Linked DNA regions of Sus scrofa. The protein of the gene in region 1 interacts with the protein of each later gene in a biochemical or structural test. Links are inferred from orthologs where the notes say so. Each region holds a gene or a part of one and is shown in the gene's direction. Other genes may lie near its edges. The genes, in order: GABBR2 and KCTD12.

Region 1 (9,040 bases):
TTGTCACCAGGCAGTGTCAGCTCTTCTCCAGAACACCTCTGGCATATATCCCTTCCTTTAGTTGTCAACACTTTCCCAGGCACCAGGCCACACCACAGATTCTCTGCCTGCACTCTGATGTTCCACCCTGTAAAAAATGCTAGATGACTCTAAGCCCGGCTCTGATCGGGTCACTCTGCTTTGTCACCCTCAAAAGCTCTTCATTGCCCTTCTGCCTCCAGGATCGAGTCCTCAACACAGGGCTGGCTTTCAGGACCCCTGGATCTCCTCCATCTCCCCGGAGAACCCTGGCCACCATCCAACTGCCCTTCTCTACTTGCATCCTGAGCCCCTGGCCGCCCTGCGTTTGCATGTGCCATTCCTTCCCCCTAGAATTCCCTTATCCTCACCCTCCTTTCAGACCCTCCATGGAGCCCAGCCCAGGCCACCAGCCCCATGCTGAGCACTCTGCCCTGGATGCTCTGGCCTGTTGAGAACCTGAGTCCTTCCTCCATCCTGCCCTTTGCCTCTGAACCATGAGGTCCTGGTGGACAGAGGCCGTGGTCATGGTTCTGGCAAGCACAAGCCTTCACTTTCCTCCCACTGTTTTCACAGTTGTTTATTTTCTACCTGGAGCAAAGCCTAAGGCAGAGTGGGGCTCGGCTGAAGCTGAGCCTCAGAGGCCTTGGGCAGGCCTGCAGGATGGCTGGCATGCAGGTGGAATCAGGGTCAGGAGACCAGACCTCTCCCGGCAAGGAAGGAAACTGAGACTCAGTGAGGGGAAGGGGCCTGCCCAGGGTCACCCACAAGAGCAAGGGACAGAGACAAGCTTGAGTCCAGGGCTCCGGACTCCTAGGCCGTGTCCTTCCCAGTGCCCCATGTTGCCTCCAGCACAAGACCTGCTGGGAACAGCTGGATGGAGGGTGGGAGGACGGACTCCAGGGTCCTCTATTCAGCCCCACCTTTGTCCTTTCAGCTCATCACTCTGAGAACAAACCCAGATGCAGCAACTCAGAACAGACGATTCCAGTTCACTCAGAATCAGAAGAAAGAAGATTCTAAAACCTCCACCTCAGTCACCAGCGTGAACCAAGCAAGCACATCCCGCCTAGAGGGCCTACAGTCAGAAAACCATCGCCTTCGGATGAAGATCACAGAGGTACCTCCCACGGCCCTGGTCACCAGGGCCCCATCCTCCTGTCTGCATCCTTCTGCCCCGTAGAGGGACTCTCTGAGCTGCCACCTCCCACCACATCCCCTCTGGAACATTCCCACAGCATGGCCTGCAGTCCCATCTCCTGTCTTTATGGCTGCAAGAACCAGAGGGAAGATAACCTATATAGAGGCAGTGTGTCAGAATCTGACAGGAGTTTACTGCCCACCTGGCCCAGGCTCGGAGGTCCATCAGTGGCTGGTTCTCAGAAAGAAAGGAGCTCCTAAGAGATTTATGAGCCCCTAGATTATAGTAGTTAAGTTGGGAAAACTCCACATCCTGTGTCTCCTTCACTGCTCACACACGACTCTTCCCTTCGACTCTTCCGTCACTAAATGGAGTTGGTGGCGGGGGTGGGGGTAGGCCCCAAGCAATTCTCTTCAACACCAGCCTGGCGTCCTGCAATTTAACTCATTCTAAGGCCATCTACCTAGAGTAGCAGACCCTACAGTTTAAAGGCTCTAACCTTCCCTAAGACTGTTCCCATCCTATTTCAGATGCCAGCTGCAGGTAGTGGGACCCAGGTTACCCACAGTTCTGTCCAACCTCATCCCAAATCAGAGGTTTCCATGACCCCTCCTTAGGTTCCATTAATTTTCTAGAGCAGCTCAAAGAACTCAGGGAAACACATTTACCAGTTTATAAAAAGACATGATAACAGATACAGATGAACAGCCAAGAAGAAATACAGTGGGGAGGGGGGCCTGGAGTGGGTCCTGAAAGCAGGAGCTTCTGTCCCATGGAATTGAGGTGCATCACCCTCCTAGCGTGTTTGTGGTCACCATGCCGGAAGTTTTTTGAACCTCTTACTATTGGGATTTTATGGAGGCTTCATCACTGGGCATGACTGATCATTAACTCTGTTTTCAGCCCTTCCCTTTCTCAAGAGGATGGGGGGCAAGGCTAAAAATTCCAAGCTTCTAATCATGGCTGATTATTTCAGGAGCCCACCCAGAGCTGCCTCATTAGAACGAGGACACTCCAACATCCAGGAAATTAAAAGGGTTTCAGGCGCATCTTTGTCAGGGTGGAGGCCAATATGTATTTCCTATTATCTCACAAGTAGCTTCCTAAGTGTGTTCCTCGCCTCAGTTTTTCACTCTCCCAACACAACCCAGAAAGCACTCATATCCATATGATGTACAGCAAGAGAGCAAGAAGTGAGGAGAAACTTCTGGGAGGAAATATTGGCTGCAACAGATCTCACTTTTGTTCTTGGCCTCCAGAGAAGCCATAACCAGATTCCTTTGTGTCCAAGCCAAACCTCAAATTCTGGACTTTCAACACCAGGGAAGGGAAACCAGCCCTCCCTCTGGGTTCGAAGTATGACCAGACCCAAAGTGTGCTGTTTTGGATACTGGCTAAGTTGCTATAACAGAGAGGCCCCAAAATAAAGTGGCCCAAAGAAGATATATGTTCATTTCTCTCTCACCTGACAATCCTGAGGAGAGAGGTCCAGGCTGCAGACAGTTCTGTTCCCCAAGGTCATTGCTAGATGAGACTCTTTTATTCTTTGTTTTCTCTAGTCCCCAAGGCATCTTCCTCACCAGTAGAGTTAAAGCTGAGTGGATGGCATGTCAAAAGGATCACCTTTTAAGCAGGTGACACACAAATTGCACACATTTTGGTTCTGCTCTAGTTACACTGGCAACAACTTACTTGATCATACTTATCCAGTGGGAAGGCTAGGAAATGTAGTCTCTAGCTGGACAGTCCCAAGGAATAAGTGAGATTGCCAGATTAGGTACAGGATGCCCAGTTAAATTTGAATTTCAGATAAACAACCAATCATATTTTTGTATGAGTATATCCTATACAGTGTTTGGAATAAACTTATGCTAAAAATTTAGATTCCTTGTTAGACATCCCATGTGGTTTGCAGCGTAACTACTCAGCGTTGCTTCTACAGGGGCTGTGGCTTGACCCCCGATTCTGCTTTGATATCAAGCCTTTCAGTGACTGGTGACACCTTATTTCTGGACCTTGATATTCAAATCCTACTTGCTCTTCCAGCCATGAAAAGTTCACTCAGTCTAGGAAACATGAAACCCTACCCAGGGGCAAAAATCCTAAATGTTGGGTTTTTCTACAACTGAAGCACAATCTGACCTCCTGCTGCTTACCCTTTGAACCTAGCCCTGCTATTTGAATCACACACAAAAAAAGGTCTCTCTCTCTTCCTCCACAGGAAAAATTATTAAACAGCTTCATGGCTGTGTGTTCAATATCAGAATAGCACTTTGTATTGCTATTTTATACCCCCCCATCTGTAGCAAGATCCCCAACTATGCTCCCCAGCTGCCACCCACTCCCCAGCCCTCGCACACTCCCCTGGCTTCTCAGGGGCTGAAATGTCCCGGAGCTTGCATCTGATTTTTATATAACCTGGAAGCAGCTAAGATCCATCCTGATTAACTCCTTTGCAGGAGTCCCCTGACCATGTAAGGCTCAGAGCTGACCAGCCCTACAGTTGTGTCCTCCCTGCCAAAGATCCTCCTAGCTATCAATAATAATAATTACAGTAGTAGCAGTATAGCAACCAGTTACCAGATTATGTGTCAGGCAATGGACTAAACTTTCACTGTGTTATTTAATCTTCACCACTCCATAAAAAAGATACTGCTGTTACCCCACTCTACAGAAGAAGGAGTTGAAACCAGCCAGTAAGGAAGGGGCAGCCCTGGTTTTGCCCAGCCCTGCCTCCCTAGGCTTGTTCAGCTGCTCCATCAAGGCTCAGGCCGGCACTGAACTCATCATTGCACAGCCCAGGCCCCTTGCATCATTGCTTCTCCTGGAACAAGAGATAGGACAGGCCCTGGGCATCTCTTCTCCAACACACAACAGTCCCTCTAGCTCTGGGTCCCCTCAAAGCCAGTCGGAGGCCTAGCCCTGTGACCCTGCAAGCTGCTTCTTAGCTCTGAGGCCTAGCTGCCAAAGTGAGGGCAGGGGCTGGGCCAGAGGCTCTGACTCAGCTAGAGCCTTTGTCTTCTAGCTGGACAAAGACTTGGAAGAAGTCACCATGCAGCTGCAGGACACACCAGAAAAGACCACCTACGTTAAACAGAACCACTACCAAGAGCTCAACGACATTCTCAACCTGGGGAACTTCACCGAGAGCACAGGTAGGAGAAGGCAGGGCCCCTGCCTATCAGACAGCAGCCATCCAGCTTCCATTTTACAAATGAAAAAATAAGCTGGGGTGGTGAGGGTGGTCTGAAGCCACACACACAGAGCTGGAGCATCTAGAACCCGCATCCTCTGAGCAGGGTCTGTTTGAACTATGCGTGGGGCTCCAGTTCCACGTGTACACCACACGGCCGGCATTCCCAGTGGTCCAATTGGGGGCGCGCTGTTCTTAGCGAACAGTGTACTTGTACTTCTGCCAGTAACATTTCAGAGTCTCAGACACACCTCGTCAATGTACGGGAAAGGAATGGTCAGTAAAATGACATGATGCTTAATCCCAATCCCTTGAGAAATAACACAGTCCATTTGGGGCCTACATTTAGGCAAACTTTTTAAAAACATTACCAGTACTGGTAAGGGCGTGTGGAAATGGGCACACTCCTGTAGTGTTGTGGGAGTTGGTCTGGCGCTCTCCAAACAGCAGATGTTAAGCCCCTCGACTAGCAATTCCCCTTGCAGGAGGCTGCTCGTGGGTAAAGGTGTCGACACACATAACAGTACTTGTAGGTGAGAAAAGCTGGAATTACAGGTTTGTCCTTTGGGGTGGTTTCATTAGTTATGATACAGGCAAACAGGGCTATTAAAAAGGGAGGTGGATCTATTTTTGCAGCTATGAAAAAATCTCTTTAACTGAGAAAAACAAGATGAAGACCAGCATTATGATGCACACAACAGCACACACACATATGTGTGTCTGTACGTGCATTTTTTTTTAAGAGTCTGGTAGAACAGACACTAGATTGTTAACAGTATCCACCCGAGGTGTGAAGGGTGTGTGTGGAGAGTGGGTGAAGGGGATTCTTTTACCTTTCATTTTATGTACTTCTTTCCTGTTTGCATCTTGTCATTAGCATATATTCATTAATTTTATCAATTATTTTGTTTAAATCAATGAAAAATCTTTAGTTTCTTGTATTATATAAGTATTTTATTATAAAAGCAATATTATAAAATTCTTATTATGTAAGATATTGACTGTAAAAAAATGTTTAGATTGGGATAACAAATTGAAAGAATAAAAATTATTCCTAGTAATTTTTAGTATCTAATTTGAAAAGGTGGGCATTTCAAGTTAGTGAGGGAAAATAAATTATTCAGTAAATTTCATTGGGATAAATGGGTATCCATCTGAAAAAGAATGAAGTTATATCCTTATCTCACAACTCATACAAAAATAAATTCCAGAGAGATAAATGATTTAAACATAAAATGTGAAACCATGACTATAGTAGAAGAAATCATGGAATTTTTTTGTCATCTCAGCAGGGGGGAAACCTTTTCAGCTTGATGCAAAACAGAAACATCACAAAAGAAAAGGTTGATAAATTTAAATACAAAGAGTCTTCTAACAATGAGAAAGCCATCATAAGTAGAGTCAAAAAAAATCAAACAACAAATTAAGTCAAAAGATATTATAACTCAGGTAATGAGCTTAGTCCCTTATATATAAAAAGAAATTAGGGGGTTCCCATTGTGGCTCACAGGTAACAGACCCAACTAGTATCCATGAGGACTTGGGTTTGATCCCTGGCCTTGCACAGTGGGTTAACGATCCAGTGTTGCCATGAGCTGTGGTGTAGGCAGCAGACATGGCTCGGATCCTGTGTGGCTGTGGCATAGCCAGCAGCTGCAGCTCCAGTTCCACCCTAAGCCTGGCAACTTCCATATACCCCAGGTGCAGCCCTAAAAAGCAAAAAAAAAAAAAAAAAAAAAAAAAGAAAAAAGAAAAAAGAAAGAAAGAAAGAAAGAGGTATTATATGAATTACAAAGTATATATACAAACTAATAAGAAAAAAGATATGGAGTTCCCGTCGTGGCACAGTGGTTAACGAATCCGACTAGGAACCATGAGGTTGCGGGTTCGATCACTGGCCTTGCTCAGTGGGTTAAGGATCCGGCATTGCCGTGAGCTGTGGTGTAGGTCGCAGACGTGGCTCGGATCCGGCATTGCTGTGGCTCTGGCGTAGGCTGGCAGCTACAGCTCCAATTCGACCCCTAGCCTGGGAACCTCCATATGCCGCGGGAGCGGCCCAAGAAATGGCAAAAAGACAAAAAAGAAAAAAGATAATAAACCAAAAGAAAAATGGGCAAGAGAGTTCTCATTAAAGGAAATATAAGTGGTTCTTGTATTTATGAAAAGATGCTCAATCTCGCTGCTAATTAAAGGATGCAAATAAGTCTGCAATGAGATACATTTTCACCTATAAGAATAGCAAAGATTAGAGACCAAAGAGCTACTGAGAGTGGGAGAAAACAGGTGGGGAAACACTGCCACTTGAAATAGAAATTGTTCTGACCCAGCAAGTCCACTTTGGGAATTTATCCTAAGGATATACAGTCAACTCTTGTCATTCACAGTAACTGCGTTCTACAAAGTCCCTGTGAACCGTGAATTTGAGAGGACTGAGCCGTGGCTCTCAGAGGAGACACGGGGTTAGGTTCCTGCAAGCCTCTCCCAGGGGGACATTTTCGTCAATACATAACTTTGTTCCATGCGCGATTCTGCTGGAGGACACCTTATTTAATACATATTGGTGACTGATGACACTGAACTCACAGCCAACAGAACTCTCACTCATGCCTGTGACGCGCAACTGACACACGTGTTTTCTCCATCTGGCACATCATGCTTAGGAACACTGGACAGCACTACGCTTAGGGGCCATTTTAAACAGCGAAAGGACCAACGCAATGCACAAAGATGTTAACAATGTGGTATTTCATAGACTACAATAAGGATACTCATTTATAGTATAAGAGCTGAAACAAGAAGACAGAGCCTTGTTCGACCTCTGCTAGGGGAGCAACTCAAATGTTTTGATGCTCTGTGTGTGTTATCAAATGACAATGAAAGCATCACGAGTATTGATTTTGGGGTTACAAGTAAATTTTAGCCCATAGGCAAGTTCGCAAATACAGAATCGGTGAATGAGGAGCACTGACTACTCACACAATGCAAACTGACACACACCTAAGGTTGCCCACTGTGGCAGAAAAAGAAAACACCCCTCCCAACCAAATGAATCCAGATCTGGCAGGTGAGGGCCCTGTTTTTACTGAGGGGCGGGGCTGTGAGCCCACCTGGATTGTTGTTTGCCCTGGGGCTTCTCGGTGCTGATGGGTGGGGCCAGATTTTCCCAAAATGGCCACCTCCAGAGAAAGGCACGCTGATGAATATTCCTGAAAGCTTTGCTCCCAGTGTCCTTCCCGACAACAAGCCACACTCACCCCTGTTTTCCCAGGAGGTCCTCTAAGAACTGCAGTCAGGTCTGACCCAGATTCCTATGGAAACTTTACTTTGTCCTGGGACCCAGTGCACGTGAAAGTCTGTGTGTGCCTTTTAAGAATGGAGCTCCTGCACACAAGCCCCACTGGCCTTCAATGCCAGATGCTCTGGGGGCTCTGTCTCCCAGTGTCAGATCCCCATGTGTGGGGGTTTGATGTGGGGCTCAGAACTCTCACTCCTGTAGGTGAGTCACTGTGATACAGTTACTTTCCAGTCTGTGGAGCTTCCCACCTGGGAAGTATGGGGTTGCTTCTATCTCATAACTGTCCCTCCTACCTCTTGATGTGGCCTCCTCTTTGTCTTTTGGAGTAGGATGTCTTTTTGAAAGTTTCCGGGGGCCACGTTTTTCTACTTCTTTAGTGCTACACATGGTGGTTCTGAAACACAAAGAGGGTTGAGAGCATCACGTTTCGTGGCTACACAGTATTTCTCTGAATGGAGGCCCGTACATATACAGTAATGTGTGTTACTGGACAAATTTGGGTTAGTTCCAACTTTGTTATTGTAAAATATCTTGTATACATCCCATACACATCCTTAATGATTTCTTTGGGATGGTTCTTGGAAGTGGAAATTCTGGGTAAAAGATACTTTTCATAGTGTTTGATGCTTACTGACAGTGCCTCCTGGAAAGATTATGCCAATTTATTCTCCCACTAGCAGTTTACTGTTACTCTTCTTTTCAATCCTTGGCAATCTTATGTAAAATATACCTTGAAGTTCCTTTTTTCTTTGTCATTACATTCCTAATGCACCTGTGAAAAGGGCCTTCGTATTAGAACCTCTCATTTCTAAGTTATGCGGACTACACTGGTTGACTTGATTCTCTTTTTTCCACATCCCTGGCACAGCATTTCCATCCCTGGACAGGGGCTTCTCGGCTCCCTGCCTTGGTCTCCGGAGAGTGCCTGCAGAGACCACAGCTTAGAGAAGGCAAAGGGAAGATGGGGTCTTCTGCATTCTCTCTCCCTGGGCGGTATCCTAAAAAATGACTGCACTGTTGATTCTTTTAAATTAACAGAATATATTGCAATATTGTTGTTTTGCATTCAGATGGGGGGAAGGCCATTTTAAAAAATCACCTCGATCAAAATCCCCAGCTCCAGTGGAACACAACAGAGCCCTCTCGAACATGCAAAGATCCTATAGAAGATATAAACTCCCCAGAACAGTAAGTACCTGCTCCTTGAGAATTAGTGCCCAAGAGTATGTTTCTTCTGCATAGTAGTTCACAATTGGCACCATGTTTTCACATGCATTACTTTATTTGTACTCCATAGTAATCCCATGATGCAGGTCAAGTTACAATGCTCATTTTCCAGATGAGAAGACATATTCAAAAAGGCGAGGTGACTTGACAAAGCTCACCAGTTACT
Region 2 (3,998 bases), on another chromosome or scaffold:
GTGATGAATCAAGCTAACTCAAATCTATGACCTCTTAGACTTTGTATTCTTTAAAATTAAAAAAAAATTGTACACAGTTTTTAAAGGTTACTTTCCATTTAGTTATTACAAAATACATCCTTGAGCCTAGCTTATACCCAATAGTTTGTACCTTCCACTCCCCCCTCCCTATGTTGCCCCTCCCCTTCCCTCTCCCCATTGGTAACCACAAGTTCTTTGTGAGTTTTCTTCCTTTTTGTTATATTAATTTGTTGTATCTTTTAGATTCCATATGTAAGTGATATCATACAATATGTGTCTGTCTGACTTATTTCACTTAGTGTAATGTCCCCTAAGTCTATCTCTGTTGCTGCAAATGGCAACATTTCACTCACTTTTATGGCTGAGTAATATCTGAACTTTATATTCTAATGCAGGGAAACAGTAAACAAAATGGGGAAAGGGACGCTGCTTGAGTGGGGCTGTATGTTAAATAGGGTGACCAAGGGAAAGTTTTGCTACAGAGACCCAAAGAAGGAGAGAAGGGAGGTACCTGAACAAGGTGAAGAAGATAAGATGGGGAGGAGAAATGAGTCTTTCAGCAAAGCGAGCAGGATGTGCAAAGGCCCTGAGAAAAGAGTAGGGCTGGAAACGTGGTTAAAGCAGTGAGCGCCTGAGATAGTGGCAGGGGATGGGTCTGAGAGGTCCTCAGGGGACAGCCCCAATCTCGTAGAGTTTTGTAGGCATTGGCGGTTTGGGTTTTACTCTTTTTTTTTTTTTTTTTTTTTTTGTCTTTTTGCCTTTTCTAGAGCCGCTCCCCTGGCATATGGAGGTTCCCAGGCTAGGGGTAGAATCAGAGCTGTAGCCACTGGCCTACGCCAGAGCCACAGCAATGCGGGATCCGAGCCGCGTCTGGGACCTACCACAGCTCACGGCAATGCTGGATCCTTAACCCACTGAGCAAGGCCAGGGATCGAACCCACAATCTCATGGTTCCTAGCTGGATTCTTGCGCCACGACAAGAACTCCTGGGTTTTACTCTTTGTTGAGATGAGATGCCAGTGAGGGGCTTTGAGCAGAGTGACATGATCTGACTTAGGTTATAATAGGATCCTTCTTTTTGTTCTGGTGATAAAACACTGTAGGAGGCAAAGGTGGAAGCAGGGTGGTGGTGAAACATGTGAATAGCCTGGAAGAATTCTGAAGGCAGAACTGACAGGATTTGCCGCTACAATGAAAAAAGTAATGGTACAAAATTATGTACAAAATTGATACAAAGAAGGCTTTTCTTGGATTTACAGAAAAGAGACTTTTTTTTTCCCCCCAGGTCTGTGACACTGATATAACAAATAGTAGCACAGCCACCTAGGCATTCAGCATGGGAACTTGGAACTTTTGTGTCAGCTGTTATTATATCAAAGACAAAACCAACCAAACAAAAAAGCGTGGTCAAATAAATTCAGTACCAAAATCTGTACTTGCAATTAAGTGAGCTGGTTTGGGGCTTGATCTTAGTACACTGACATGAAATGAGATAATTGTTCAGCAGACGTAAACCTTTTAAGTGAAAATGACACATCCGTGAGGGGACTGTAAAGCTCATTGGGTAGTTATGTAAAAGGGGAAACATTTTTATCAAGAACAAAGATCTCGCCTGATATATACTGATTTGACAGTCTGTTTTTCAAACTTGATCTGATAATTCCTTAGATCTCTGACCCTTGCCTACCCGGTGACACTGATGGCGCTTTGGAGCCTACTCAGCCTTGCGTTCTTCTACCAGTGAGGCCACATAGCTGGTGCACAATAGATACTCATCGACTTGCTGATTAGACATCCTTCACCACCCACTCTTCCGTCCCCTTTCTGCGGTTCTCAGGAGCACTTTATTTACCAAAGTCAGAGATCAGATCATCACTCACAAATGCGAAATTTCAGAATGCGTGGGGGTTAGAGCAGGTGGAAGGAGCCATTCAAGGCCCCACCCGCCACGTGGTAACGGGCGAATGAGAATGTGGAGGGAGCAGGAGTTAGAAGACCACAAGGGATCTGGAGAGGGCCTTCCAGTGTTCGAGGACCCTGAGACTAGAAGGAATTTAGAGCGGGATGAACGGAGTGACCCAGGCCCGAGGGAGCAGGGGCACTGCACCTCTGGGAGGATAAAGACGCAGAGGTTGAAAGGGAGGTTCTCCAAATTACATTAGATCTTCTAACCCTCCAAGTCTCAGAACGCGATTCACCTGGGGCCACGGAGACGGAGCCTTCCCTTTAGGCCTCGGCAAACACGTCCCTTCAGGCTCAGCAGGAGGCAGCGTCCGCTACCTAGAGGGGAACGCGCCCCGAAGCCACTGCTTTAACTCACCCAAGTTCCCCCACTGCTATTTCAGCCCATTTCCTCCAATTTTGAGGTAGTCCCAACTAACGAGCTTGCGTCTTTACCCAGAAAATCCTGCAGCGGGATACCGAGGTTAACTTTTTGTTTGTAGGGATTTTTTTTTTTTTTTTTTTCCCGAGGCTACACGTCCTAGCGAACAAAATCTAGCTGCCTCCGGGCTGAAGCGGGCCCACCCCAGCGGGAGGTCTTTCCATATTTTTGGTCTCTGGAACTTTCAGCAACGCGGCGATCGGCGTGTTTACGAAGAGGCACAGTTCCCGTGTTCAAAGCGGCTAGGTGGGGGGAGGAGGGGCGGTCAGGCACTTCCACTCTTCGGGTGAGGAGAGCCTGAAAGTTTACGTATTCCTTCCACTGGCCCCGGAGCGCTTAGGAGGGAAAGGGGCGTTCTGATTGCCTCTTCAAAGAAGGCTCCTCTGCCGAAGCGCAGATCCCAGGCTCCGTCCACTCTGGAAGAGGATGAAAGTTGGGCGGGAGCGGGAAGGGGATGGAGCGCGGGTCGAGGAGGGGTGGGGAAGTCGGGGCGCCCGGGCGGCGCGCGAGCCGGGGTGGAGCCAGCAGCTGGCCACGGCGTCAGCGTTTAAGATGCAAATCGATTCACCGCTCCACCGCCCCCTCCCGCCTAGGGAGCGAGGCTCCGCCGCTCCGCAGCCGCCCCCGCCTCCTGCGCGCAGCGGCGCTCGGGCGGGCGGCTCTACTTAAGCGGCGTGCGGGCCGCCACCCGGCACTCCCCTGGAGCGCGCGGGCGAGGCAGGCAGAGCGCAGCGGGGCTCGCGGGGGCGCACAGCGGCGCGCTCGCAGGGTGCGCTCGGCTCCGCGCGGCTCTCGGCTGCAGCGGCGGCAGTGGCCGGGGCGCAAGGCTGAACGAGCGTCCGGGAAAGCGGCGGCTTCGGCGCGCGGCCCGGCTCCTGGCCACTGCCCTAGCCCGGCCACCTCTTGGCCATGGCTCTGGCGGACAGCACTCGTGGATTACCCAACGGGGGCGGCGGCGGCGGCAGTGGCTCCTCGTCGTCCTCGGCGGAGCCGCCGCTGTTTCCTGACATCGTAGAGCTCAACGTGGGGGGCCAGGTGTATGTGACCCGGCGCTGCACGGTGGTGTCGGTGCCCGACTCGCTGCTTTGGCGCATGTTCACGCAGCAGCAGCCGCAGGAGCTGGCCCGGGACAGCAAAGGCCGCTTCTTTCTGGACCGAGACGGTTTCCTCTTCCGCTACATCTTGGATTACCTGCGGGACCTGCAGCTCGTGCTGCCCGACTACTTCCCAGAGCGCAGCCGGCTGCAGCGCGAGGCCGAGTACTTCGAGCTGCCCGAGCTCGTGCGCCGCCTCGGGGCGCCCCAGCAGCCCGGCCCCGGGCCGCCGCCGCCGCACTCGCGGCGCGGGGTGCAGAAGGAGGGCTCTCTGGGTGACGAGCTGCTGCCTCTCGGCTATGCGGAGCCCGAGCTGCAGGAGGGCGCCTCTGCTGGGGCGCCGTCGCCCACCCTGGAGCTGTCTAGCCGCAGCCCGTCCGGGGGCGCGGCTGGCCCACTGCTCACGCCTTCCCAGTCGTTGGACGGCAGCCGGCGCTCGGGCTACATCACCATCGGCTACCGAGGCTCCTACACCATCGGGCGGGACGCGCAGGCGGACG

Evidence for each region.
Region 2: the proteins of GABBR2 (region 1) and KCTD12 form a complex in vitro, tested with the Homo sapiens proteins (2 studies listed by BioGRID). The link is inferred for Sus scrofa from reciprocal best matches to the Homo sapiens genes GABBR2 and KCTD12.

The regions. Positions count from the first base shown.
Region 1 is NC_010443.5:240,112,478-240,121,517, reverse strand, and holds part of GABBR2 (gamma-aminobutyric acid type B receptor subunit 2), read left to right. Parts: intron 1-955; coding exon 956-1,138; intron 1,139-4,184; coding exon 4,185-4,314; intron 4,315-8,717; coding exon 8,718-8,835; intron 8,836-9,040. UniProt on the Homo sapiens protein: Component of a heterodimeric G-protein coupled receptor for GABA, formed by GABBR1 and GABBR2. Within the heterodimeric GABA receptor, only GABBR1 seems to bind agonists, while GABBR2 mediates coupling to G proteins.
Region 2 is NC_010453.5:49,030,409-49,034,406, reverse strand, and holds the start of KCTD12 (BTB/POZ domain-containing protein KCTD12), read left to right. Parts: upstream 1-1,198; 5' UTR 1,199-3,313; coding exon 3,314-3,998. UniProt on the Homo sapiens protein: Auxiliary subunit of GABA-B receptors that determine the pharmacology and kinetics of the receptor response. Increases agonist potency and markedly alter the G-protein signaling of the receptors by accelerating onset and promoting desensitization.